Anolis sagrei: one gene and its partners. The protein of the gene in region 2 binds, or shares a complex with, the protein of the main gene of each other region. Links are inferred from orthologs where the notes say so. Each region holds a gene or a part of one and is shown on either strand. Other genes may lie near its edges.

Evidence for each region.
Region 1: TCTE1 (region 2) and FBXL13 share a complex: the UniProt entries of both Homo sapiens proteins name them as parts of the nexin-dynein regulatory complex. The link is inferred for Anolis sagrei from reciprocal best matches to the Homo sapiens genes DRC5 and FBXL13.
Region 3: TCTE1 (region 2) and EFCAB2 share a complex: the UniProt entries of both Homo sapiens proteins name them as parts of the nexin-dynein regulatory complex. The link is inferred for Anolis sagrei from reciprocal best matches to the Homo sapiens genes DRC5 and DRC8.

Annotation. Positions count from the first base shown.
Region 1 is NC_090025.1:85,412,424-85,416,174, forward strand, and holds the start of FBXL13 (F-box and leucine-rich repeat protein 13), read left to right. Parts: upstream 1-1,066; 5' UTR 1,067-1,126; coding exon 1,127-1,201; intron 1,202-3,751. UniProt on the Homo sapiens protein: Substrate-recognition component of the SCF (SKP1-CUL1-F-box protein)-type E3 ubiquitin ligase complex.
Region 2 is NC_090021.1:48,126,079-48,129,829, reverse strand, and holds the start of TCTE1 (dynein regulatory complex subunit 5), read right to left. Parts: upstream 2,689-3,751; 5' UTR 2,422-2,688; intron 1-2,421. UniProt on the Homo sapiens protein: Component of the nexin-dynein regulatory complex (N-DRC) a key regulator of ciliary/flagellar motility which maintains the alignment and integrity of the distal axoneme and regulates microtubule sliding in motile axonemes.
Region 3 is NC_090021.1:54,903,957-54,907,707, reverse strand, and holds the start of EFCAB2 (dynein regulatory complex protein 8), read left to right. Parts: upstream 1-1,218; 5' UTR 1,219-1,250; coding exon 1,251-1,284; intron 1,285-3,751. UniProt on the Homo sapiens protein: Component of the nexin-dynein regulatory complex (N-DRC), a key regulator of ciliary/flagellar motility which maintains the alignment and integrity of the distal axoneme and regulates microtubule sliding in motile axonemes.

The DNA of each region.
Region 1 (3,751 bases), on a different chromosome or scaffold from region 2:
TTGAGTTTGGGAGTTGTAGTTCACCTACATCCAGAGAGCACTGTGGACTCAAACAATGATGGATCTGGACCAAACTTGGTACGAATATTCCATATGCCCAAATATGAACACAGATGGGGTTTGGGGGAAATAGACTTTGATATTTGGAAATTGTCGCTACTGGGATTTATAGTTCACTTACAATCAAAGCACATTCTGAATCCCACCAGCGATAGAATTGGGCTAAACTTCCCACACAGAACCCCCATGAGCAACAGAAAATACTTAAGGCCATCCAGTCCAACTCTCTTCACTAGGGCAAGAAAATGTAATCAAAGCCCTCCTGACAAAGAGTCATCCAGCCATAGATATAGATAGATAGATAGATAGATAGATAGACAGATATAGATATGATTCACACACAGAGAGAAATAGTATCATAGATTTGAAAGGGACCCTTAAAGCCAAGGTGGGCAAACCAGACACTCTCCACATCAACACTGACAAAAAACAGCAGAAATACTGTATACCCACAAGCATAAAGGAATTACATATATTAGAAACCAATACTTTCTCATTACTTTATTTTCCAGATCAACAGACTGGGCCACAGCAACGCGTAGCAGGGGACAGCTAGTCAATAATAATAAAGAAACCTAATCCATATAGACCCATTACCAAGAAAAAGAAGAAAAGAAAGAAATATCTACTGGAAATGTTTATATGAAGAGAGATAAACCCTCCCAAGCTTCCCCCCTTCTCAACCCCCTTTTTTATTGTCAATCACTAATAAAAATGTATATATATATAAAAAAGACATTACATATATTAGAAACCAACACTTTCTCGTTACTTTCTCATCACTAGACTGGGCCACAGCAACGCGTGGCAGGGGACAGCTAGTCCCCAACATAAAAAGGTTAGTGTGAATGGCGCTGCCACATTCTTTCCTCCTCCTTTCCTCCTTTTGAATACTTCTGGTGTCTGGCAGTTTGAGTGGCAGGCGAGGGCGAGTGGGCCGGCGCGCGCTGACCACCCGGGGCTTGGCTCGAGGGCACGTGCAGCCCGGTTGCTAGGCGACCGCCAAACGGTCACCTCAGGGGGCCAGGCCGGGAGGAGGACCCCCTCCTCTCCTCTCCGTGGGGCCATGGCTACGTTTCAAGGCGTGGGCCCCGAACTCAGGGCCTACTTCAAGAAACACTCCATCCCTGACATCTATGAGGTAAAAGGGCCGCCTGGGGAAATTGGAGAGGGATGAAACCAGGTCTAACACGTTGTCAGGGAAGGCCTCCCTTTTTTTGCTGTGCTGGCCTAGTAGGCATGCATTCTTATGATCCACCTCCATCCCGCTAGGCCAGAGAGTCGCAAGGAGAGTTTCCTTACCAGTCACACCTTCAGTACTGTATTTGTGTGGCATTGTTTTGGAACTGAACTAATATCTTGAAGAGCTTTTAAAATTGAATTTAGAATAATAGAATCCTAGAGTTGGAAGAGACCTCATGGGCCCAGAGGCGGCCCTAGGTAATTTTTAATAGTAAGCAAACAGTATCCCCCGACAACCAATCACTGATATATATTTTCTGTTTGTTGTGGGAGTTCTGTGTGCCATATTTGGTTCTATTCCATCATTGGTGGAGTTCAGAATGCTCTTTGATTGTAGGTGAACTATATATCCCAGTAACTACAACTCGCATATGTCAAGGTCTATCAACTATACTACTGCAACGCACTCTACGTGGGGTTGCCCTTGAAGACTGTTTGGAAACTTCAACTGGTCCAGCGAGCGGCAGCCAGATTACTCACCGGAGCGTCATACAGGGAGCACACCACCCCCCTGTTGTGTCAGCTCCACTGGCTGCCGGTTCAATTCCGAGCACAATTCAAGGTGCTGGTTTTGACCTACAAAACCCTATACTAGTGTTTCTCAACCTGGGGGTCGGGACCCCTGGGTGGGGGTCACGATGGAGTGTTAGAGGGGTCGCCAAAGACCACCAAGATGCACTGCTGCTCATGGGAGTTCTGTGTGGGAAGTCTGGCCCAATTCTATCGTCGGTGGGGTTCAGAATGCTCTCTGATTGTAGGTAAACTATAAATTCCAGCAATTACAACTCCTAAATGTCAAGGTCTATTTCCCCCAAACTCCCAGCAGTGTTCACATTTGGGCATATTGAGTATTCATGCCAAGTTTAGTCCAGATCTATCATTGTTTGAGTCCACAGTGCTTTCTGGAGATATGTGAACTACAACTCAAGGCCAATGCTCACCTAACGCTTTCATTATTTTTTGCTGGTCATGGGTGTTCTGTGTGCCAAGTTTGGGTCAATTTCATCTCTGGTGGAACTCAGAAAGTTCTTTGATTGTACGTGAACTGTAAATCCCAGCAACTATAACTCCCAAGGTCCAGAGAATGAAAATACATCCTGCCTATCAGATATTTACATGACGATTCATAACAGTAGCAAAATTCCAGTTATGAAGTAGCAACGAAAATAATTTTAGGGTTGGGGGTCACCACAACATGAGGAACTATATAAAGGGGTTGCGGCGTTAGGAAGGTTGAGAACCACTGCCCTATTCTGGTCCAGTGTATCTGTCCGAACGCATCTCCCTCTATGTCCCACCCCGGAGTTTGAGATCATCTGGAGAGGCCCTGCTTTCGACCCCACCGCTATCACAAGTGAGGTTGGTGGGGACGGGGAGCAGGGCTTTCTCAGTGGTGGCCCCTCACCTGTGGAACTCACTCCCGGGGGAAATTAGGTCATCAACATCCCTCCTCTCCTTCAGGAGGAAAGTAAAGACGTGGTTGTGGGACCAGGCCTTTGGGCAATCTGACAACTAGATAAGGACAATCAGACGACTAGGACTGACAGGACTGACAAAGTGGAATTGGAAATTAGACTATGAGATGGTGAACGCTGACCGTTAATGAGGAGTAATGGGTTTGTATTGGTTTTATTGGTTTTATTGTTGTAATGCAGGAACTGTTGTTTAACTGTTAATTGCTGCTATATTGTTTTACTACTGTTACGTGATGCCGGCATCGAATTGTGCGTTTGTAAGTTGCCCTGAGTCCCCTCCAGGGTGAGAAGGGCGGGGTAGAAGTAATCGAAATAATAAATACTGCAAATGCTTACTTTGCGTAATGGGTTGAGCCTCCCCTGCATGGGCCATCCAGTCCAACCCCCTGCCAAGAAGCAGGAAAATTGCATTTAGATGGCCATCCAGCCTCTGTTTAAAAGCTTCCAAAGAAGGAGCCTCTACCAGGACCGTAGCCAGAAAAAAAATTTCGGGGAGGGTTGAAACCTTTTTTAGCAAATCATGAAGAGTAGTTCGAGGGAGAGGGCCTTCTCGGTAGTGGCCCCCCGACTCTGGAACTCACTTCCCAAGGACATCAGACATGCCCTAACTCTGACAGTCTTTACTTACTTACTTACTTAGGCGATCCCTCGTTGGCCGAGAAGGATAGTCTTCCAGGATCAGAATTCTTGTGTCTGTAGGTGGCTGTGGAGCCCTATTCTTGATCTGCATCTTCTTCCACAGTGAGGGCAGATGTGTAGCCAAGGGGGGGGGGGGCTTGAGGGGCTTCAGCCCCCCCCCCCCCGGAAATTCTCATGGTGGTTCACGAAAAGGCCTTACTGGTGCATTATTTAAACTGTTATGTTTATTCATATCATGATCTGATCACCATACTCAATATATTCCATATGCTTGGGGGTATTGGGGTAACGATACAGAAGGTTTGCTAGGGTAGACCCTCTTTCACTCAGACTTA
Region 2 (3,751 bases):
AGAACTTTAGTTAAATTGTCATGCTTTCAGAAATCTGCTGATAAGAAATGCACTAAAGGTTGGATATCCTTTATCAGAAATGCTTGGGACCACAATTGTTTTGGATTTTGGAATACCTGTATGCAGGGCCGTAGCCAGAAAAAAATTTCGGGAGGGGTTGAAATTTTCACGGGGGGGGGGGGGGGGTTGAAATTTTCACGGGGGGGGTTTTCAAATTTTCACGGGGAGGGGTGAAATTTTCAGGGGGGGGGGTTGACATTTTTGCAAGGGGGGTTTCAAATTTTCGTGCGGGGGGGGGGGTTGCAACCTGCCTCCTAGCTCACGCTGAAGCAAAGAATACAGCAGGGGCCAGAGCAGCCTTCAATAGCCTGCAGCTCCGTCCCTGTCAACCATCTCCACCAAGTCTGGCCTCCTTAATGAGAGCATTCAACACACAAACCACAATTTGGTTGCTTCACTACATCGGCTATTGCTGCAAGTAATGACAGTGTGAATAAATTGTCAATATTTGCTTGAGATAGTTCTGGAGGGACTCTTAATTTTTTGTATTTCATAGACTTAGCAATGGGATTTGGTTAACCAGTTAAAATTCATGAGTAAACCAGGTTTTTAAAAAAATCTGAAACATTTGGGGGGGGGATTGAACCCCTAAACCGCCCCCCTCGCTACAGGCCTGCCTGTATGTACATAATGAGTTATCTTGGAGATGAGTCCCAAGTCTTATCAGAAAATTCATCTATGTTTCATGCACACCATATACACATAGCCTGAAGGCAATTTTATGCAATATAAAAAACAATGCCCATGAAACAAAGTTTGGACAGTAAACCATTAGAAAGCAAAAAAAAAAAAAAAAAAAAAATGTCACTACCTTAGCCACCCATGAGGACAATTTTGGAGTTTTGCAGATTATGTGTGCTCAAATTATATTGCTTTCACATTCTTTAGGCCCCATCTACAATGCCTTATAATGCAGTTTGAAACTGCATTATAGAATTTGTATAGACCCATATAATGCATTTAAACGGTATTATATAAGTCTTCTCTACATTCCTCTACAATATGCTATAGTTTCAAAGTGTAGATAGGGCCTAGGAATGAATATAACCATATTTTCTAATGGGAGCAAGATAGTTTAGGGAGAATAGTTATTTCACATCAGTTTTCAAGTGAGTTGTAATATACAGAAACAAACACAATCTCAGTAGCATACTCACATAGATTTCCATTAAAAGAGAGTGTACTAATATACAATCAAGAAGCTGCAACAACATATATAAATCACAACTGAAATGGAGAGATGAATATCATGTTTCTTAACAGCAACATTTACTGATTTTTAAAAAAGAAAACTGAAAATGAAAAGTTGGCCTAAACTGAAGTGTTTAAGGATAAATAGGCTCCTCAAAAAGAAAAGGTTCAAGACTATACAAAATATAGCTCAGAAAAAAACCACAGTATGTGGAAGCATTACCTAATTTATTGCTGCCTACAGAGACAAAGGGCCCCCTGGTGATGCAGTGGATTAAACTATTGAGCTGTGGAACTTACTGACTGAAAGGTTGGCGGTTTGAATCCGGGGAGCAGGGTGAGCTCCCTGCCTCTGTCAACCTAACAGTCTGAAAACATATAAATATGAGTAGCTCAATAGGTACTGCTTCTGCGGGAAGGCAACAGCACTCCATGCAGTCGTGTCAGCCACATGACCTTGGAGGAATCTACGGACAACGCTGGCTCTTAGGCTTAGAAATGGAGATGAGCACCACTCTCTGGAGTCTGACATGACTAGACTTAATGTCCAGGGAAACCTTTACCTTTACTTTACCAGAGAAATAGATAATCTAATAGTCTGCGGACTCAGTGTGAGAAAACTTGCTGCTGGTTTACCTGGCTGATCATGAAAACCTAACTGCATTCTGCAGTTATTGCAGGCACACTTCAGTTAGCAAAGTAGATGTGATCCACAGACATTACTTCTTTAGCAGAAAATTTAGTTCCGGGGGCAGAAATAAAATGGAAAAAAATGAATTTCTATTTCACAAAAAAACCCCCCAAAAAACAACACTCTTCATTTCGGGGTTTGTAGATCAGTGGGGCCCAGGACCTCGCTGGCCGGGCATTTTAAAGGCCCCTCTCTAAACTACAAGCTTCTGCAGGAGACAGCCACAGGATTTACATTAATGTAATTTGACCCCAGTATGGCTCAATGCTAAGGGATCATGGGAGTTTTAGTTTGGTCAATCATCAGTACGCTACAGCTCCCGTAATTCTATAGCAATGTGTCATTTATTTATTTATTTATTTACAGCTTTTATATTCCACCCTTCTCACCCTGCAGGGGACTCAGGGCAGATTACAGTGTACACATATATGGCAAACATGCAATGCCAATTTTTGACATACAAACATATACAGACATACAGAGGCTATTTAACTTTTTCTGGCCGCCAGGGGAGCTGTCGCTTTCATCGTCCATCTGCGACGCTGATGAAGCACCTCCGCATTCCTGCATGCTTCCCCGCTGGAATGCTTTGCTGGAGTCTTCTTTATGGCCTCATAAATCAGTTAATTTAGCCTCCCCAACTGTCTTTCAGGTTGCAAAGGTCGACAACAGGCTACACACAATTGGTTGGAAACCCACTCATGACCTTTTGGTCAGAGTGATCTTAATGCAGCTGACACTCAGCCAGCTGCGCCATAATCCCGGTTATGGCTGTTAAGACGGCCTAAACTGCATCCATTACAGTATAGATCAGGCATGGGCAAACTTGGGCCCTCCGTGTGTTTTGGACTTCAACTCCCAGCATTCCTAACAGCCCCAGCCCCTTTCCTTTCTCCCACTCAGCTGAAGCAGCTGTGGTGGGAAAGGTCCTTGAGGTCCTTCTCTGAATTCTATTGCATCCTCCACTCTTTCCCTGTAGGGACCCAAGACTCGACATTTCACTGGCCTGAACGTCCCAGGCCCCTCTTTCCTGGTCCCCCCCACCCTCGAAACAGGTGTCCCCTCAGGTTTCATTCGCCCACCTGGCAGTCTAGGCCGCAGAGCAGTCCGTTGCTAAGGAAACGAGAAGCGTTGCCAAGGGCGGGGCTTCACAGCGTAGACCACACCCCTTAGAGGCACGAGCCGAGGGTGATGTCCAATCAGCAGGCGGGAGCCGCCCATTGCTTTTTTTTCAGAAATGGGCGGGAGGAACCGCCTGGGGGCGGAGCTTACGGCAAGGTGTGTGCGATAGCTTGGAAGCAGGAATTTCTGGATGAGATGAAACCAAGCCCCGCCCCTTTCCCTTGAGAGCGCCTCCTGATTGGCTATTCTGTTGGCACCCTGAGTGTTGTTTTTTCCTAAGAAGGAGACATCATCTTCTTGATGTGGCTGTTAAATGCAGGTTGAGGATGCATCTACACTGTAGCATAAACGCAGTTCAACAGCACTTTAACTGGCAGGGCTCAAATGCAATGAAATAATGGGGGTTGTAGATCTACAAGGTCTTAAAGGGGTGTCAAACTGCATTAATTCTACAGTGTAGATGCACCCAGAGTCTCCTTTATCCCAAATGTTTGGGTTCCACAATGGGAGAGTGATCAACAGTCTAACAAGCAATGAGTAATGAATGTGCTGGATGACTTGTCTTTGCCTCCTCCTCAACTTTCCATTTGGAAGGACATTCTGTGTCGATTAAATATAAACACTGAGAATGTGATGCCTTGATTGACTGCCAATGAGCTTTATGACCTGAGTGGAACCCATCTGCTT
Region 3 (3,751 bases), about 6.8 Mb from region 2:
TATGGACTCAGACGATCCAGTTCAAAGCGGATTTTGTGGGATTTTCTGCCTTGATATTCTGGGTTATAGGGCTGTGTGGAAGGGCCCTCAGGCTACTTCTGCACTGTCATATAATCCACATTTTCAAAGCAGATAATTTCACATGCTCTGCTTTGAACTGGATTATACTGGAGTCTACGCTGCCGTATAATCCAGAGCAGATAATCTGGATAGCCCCCGGTGGCGCAGTGGGTTAAACCCCTGTGCCGGCAGGACTGAAGACCGACAGGTTGCAGGTTCTAATCCGGGGAGAGGTAAATGAGCTCCCTCTATCAGCTCCAGCTCCTCATGCGGGGACATGAGAGAAGCCTCCCAGAAGGATGATAAAAGCATCAAATCATCCAGGCGTCCCCTGGGCAACGTCCTTGCAGACGGCCAATTCTCTTACACCAGAAGAGACTTGCAGTTTCTCAAGTTGCTCCTGACACGACAAAAAGAAAGAAAGAAAATAATAATCTGGATTATTATATGGCAATGGAAAAGGGGTCAGAGGGCCCTTCCACACAGCCCTATATCCCAGAATATCAAGGCAGAAATTCCCACAATATCTGCTTTGAACATGGTTATCTGAGTGAGTCCACACTCAGACAATGTGGGATTTTCTGCCTTGATACTCAGGGATATAGGGCTGTGTGGATGGGCCCTTAAGAGACCAGGGTTCAGATCCTTCCTTGGTCATGGAAGCCCATTGAGTAACTTTGGGCAAGTCACATTCTCTCAGCCTCAGAGTCACAATCCCTCTGTCCCATATGTAAAAAAATGTTGCAAGCTTGGAAGGACAAAACATAGACATAACAATATATCTATTTTAAAATGAATAAAAACACATAAAGCAGGGGGTCACTGTATCCCAGGCCTGGGCAAACTTGGGCTTTCCCTCCAGGTGTTTTGGACTTCAACTCCCATCATTCCTAACAGCTTCAGGTCCTTTTCTTTTCCCCCTCAGCCGCTTAAGCGGCTGAGGGGGAAAAGAAAGGGACCTGAAGCTGTTAGGAATGATGGGAGTTGAAGTCCAAAACACTTGGAGGGAAAGCCCAAGTTTGCCCAGGCCTGTTGTATCTAAAAGAAAGAAGGAGCCTTCGTTTCCAAAGAGAGGCCTACTCGGAAGAAAAAGGCGGGAAACCCCTCCTTCCCCAGTTTCTGCCCTCAGGAGCAGCAAGGCCCAAAGCGCGCCTTTGCGTTGCCATGGCGACCCCTGAAGCGGCGAGGGCATGGCGGCCGAGGAGAAAGAAGCCACCGCCGCGGGTAAGCAGCCTTTTTGGTCTTGTAAGCCCGGCTCAAACAAGGATAAGATGGCACGGAGAGGAGAGGAAGACCAGGGGAAGGCAACACGGGCCTAGTTATCGCCCACTCCCCGCCGCCGCCCTCTTTCTCCTCGCAACGGGCCTTCTGCTTCTTTGAACATGGCATGGCTTCCCTCCTCCTCTGAATGGCGGCCTCTGTCGCAGGCTCCCTGCCTTCCTTCCTTCCTCACGCGACTCCCCTGCAGGCACAATACGTAGCCGCTCCCTCAGGAAGGAAAAGGGTTTTAAGACATCATATTGGCTAACCATGCAATTACAGTTCTATTATGTGATGGAATAAGAGTGATTCCACTCTTCATGGCATGCAGGAAAGAATAGGGGGTACTTTCTGATAGGCACTTAGGAAATACATTGAAAGGTGAGCAGATCATGTATATGTATTGTTATTACAATATGGCACAATATTTAAAACAGAATAATATTTGTTTGGCTATTTCTTCATAAAAGTAGACAATTTATTGTTGAAGACTGTCATGGCTGGAATCACTGGGTTGTTGTAGGTTTTTCGGGCTATATGGCTATGTTCTAGAAGCATTCTCTCCTGACATTTCGCCTGCATGTATGGCAAGCATCCTCAGAGGTTGTGCAGGTCCAATTCCGAGCACAATTCAAACTGCTGGTTTTGACCTATAAAGCTCTATATGGCTTACCTGTCTTAATGTACTCGCCTGTGGAACTCACTCCCCAGCGAAATCAGGTCAACAAGAACCCTCCTTGCCTTAAGGAAAAAATTGAAAATGTGATTATGGGGCCAGGCCTTTGGGTACTCAAGCCCTATACGACTCTGGCCCAGCTTACCTGTCCGAACGTATCTCCCTCTGCGTCCCACCTCGAAGTTTAAGATCTTCTGGGGAGGCTCTGCTCTCGGCCCCGCCTTTGGTGCAAACACGCTTGGCGGGGATGAGGGACAGGGTCTTCTCGGTGACGGCCCCCCACCTGTTGAAGTTGTTCCCGAGCGAAATCAGGTCAATAACATCCCTCCTCGTCTTCAGGAGGAAATTGAAAATGTGGTTATGGGACCAGGCCTTTGGGTACTCAAGCCCTATACGACTCTGGCCCAGCTTACCTGTCCGAACGTATCTCCCTCTATGCCCCACCTCAGAGTTTAAGATCTTCTGGGGAAGCCCTGTTCTCGGCCCCGCCTTTGTCGCAAACACACTTGGCGGGGATGAGGGACAGGGCCTTTTCGGTGATGGCCCCCCACCTGTGGAACTCGCTCCCGAGCGAAATCAGGTCAGTAACATCCCTCCTCGCCTTCAGGAAGAAATTGAAAATGTGGTTATGGGACCAGGCCTTTGGGTAGCTGGCAGATAATTGACAATGGTAATGATGATGATGATAAAAACTTTATTTATACCCTGCCCAAGGGGACTCGGGGCGGCTTCCATGAGGCCAAGCCCAACCACACATCAGTTAAACAACAACGCAGTAAGCAAATAAAACAATACAATTAATATAACTCACATATAAGCAATAACACACAAAATTTGAAACCTTATGGCTGAGCCAGATGTAATAAATTAATTTTTTAAAAATAAATACTGGGGGTTTTATTTTCTCGTGTCAGGGCAGCCAGTCAATTATATTACATTTCTAACAGAACAAAGCAAACATATAAACAGAGAAAATACAAAATGTGTGAGTTTGGTAGTTGATTAAATGTCCTTTGACCAGTATCTGGCCACTTGGAGTGCTTCTGGTGTTGCTGCAAGAAGGTCCTCCGTTGTGCATGTGGCTGGGCTCAGGTTGCATTGCAGCAGGTGGTCAGTGGTTTGCTCCTCTCTGCACTCGCATGTCGAGGATTCCACTTTGTAGCCCCATTTCTGAAGGTTGGCTCTGCATCTTGTGGTGCCAGAACGCAGTCTGTTCAGCACCTTCTAAGTCGCCTAGTCCTCTGTGTGCCCAGAGGGGTGAACAGAGGTAGGATGTATCTAAGCAGGAGGGTTTTAAAAGATTTGGGAAACCTCATTTGCTCAGAGGCGTCTGCCTGCAAGGTAGGGTGCATCTACACCAGGCCTGGGAAAAATTCGGCCCTCCGGGTGTTTTGGACTTCAATTCCCACAATTCCTAACAGACGGTGAAGGTGGATGTGCCAGGCTCTTCTGCATTTGCACCCCCGGTTTTAACGCACTGTGCTAAAATACTGAAAATGCTAGAAGAAAGGCCTATCATTTTCAGCTGAACCAACAGAAAGGAAAGGTTTCACTATCTGTGGACAGTTTTGGATTGCGGAATATTTCAAGAATTATGAATCAAGGATGCTCAACTCCTGCTATGATATTTAAGGTCAACTCTTTAACCTAGAAGGCCCCTAGAGTAACTTCTCCCTATCTTTCACTCTAATCCTGTGGAATCTTGGGATTTATAGTTTGGTACGAGGCTGCGGTGGCGCAGCAAGTTAAACTGAT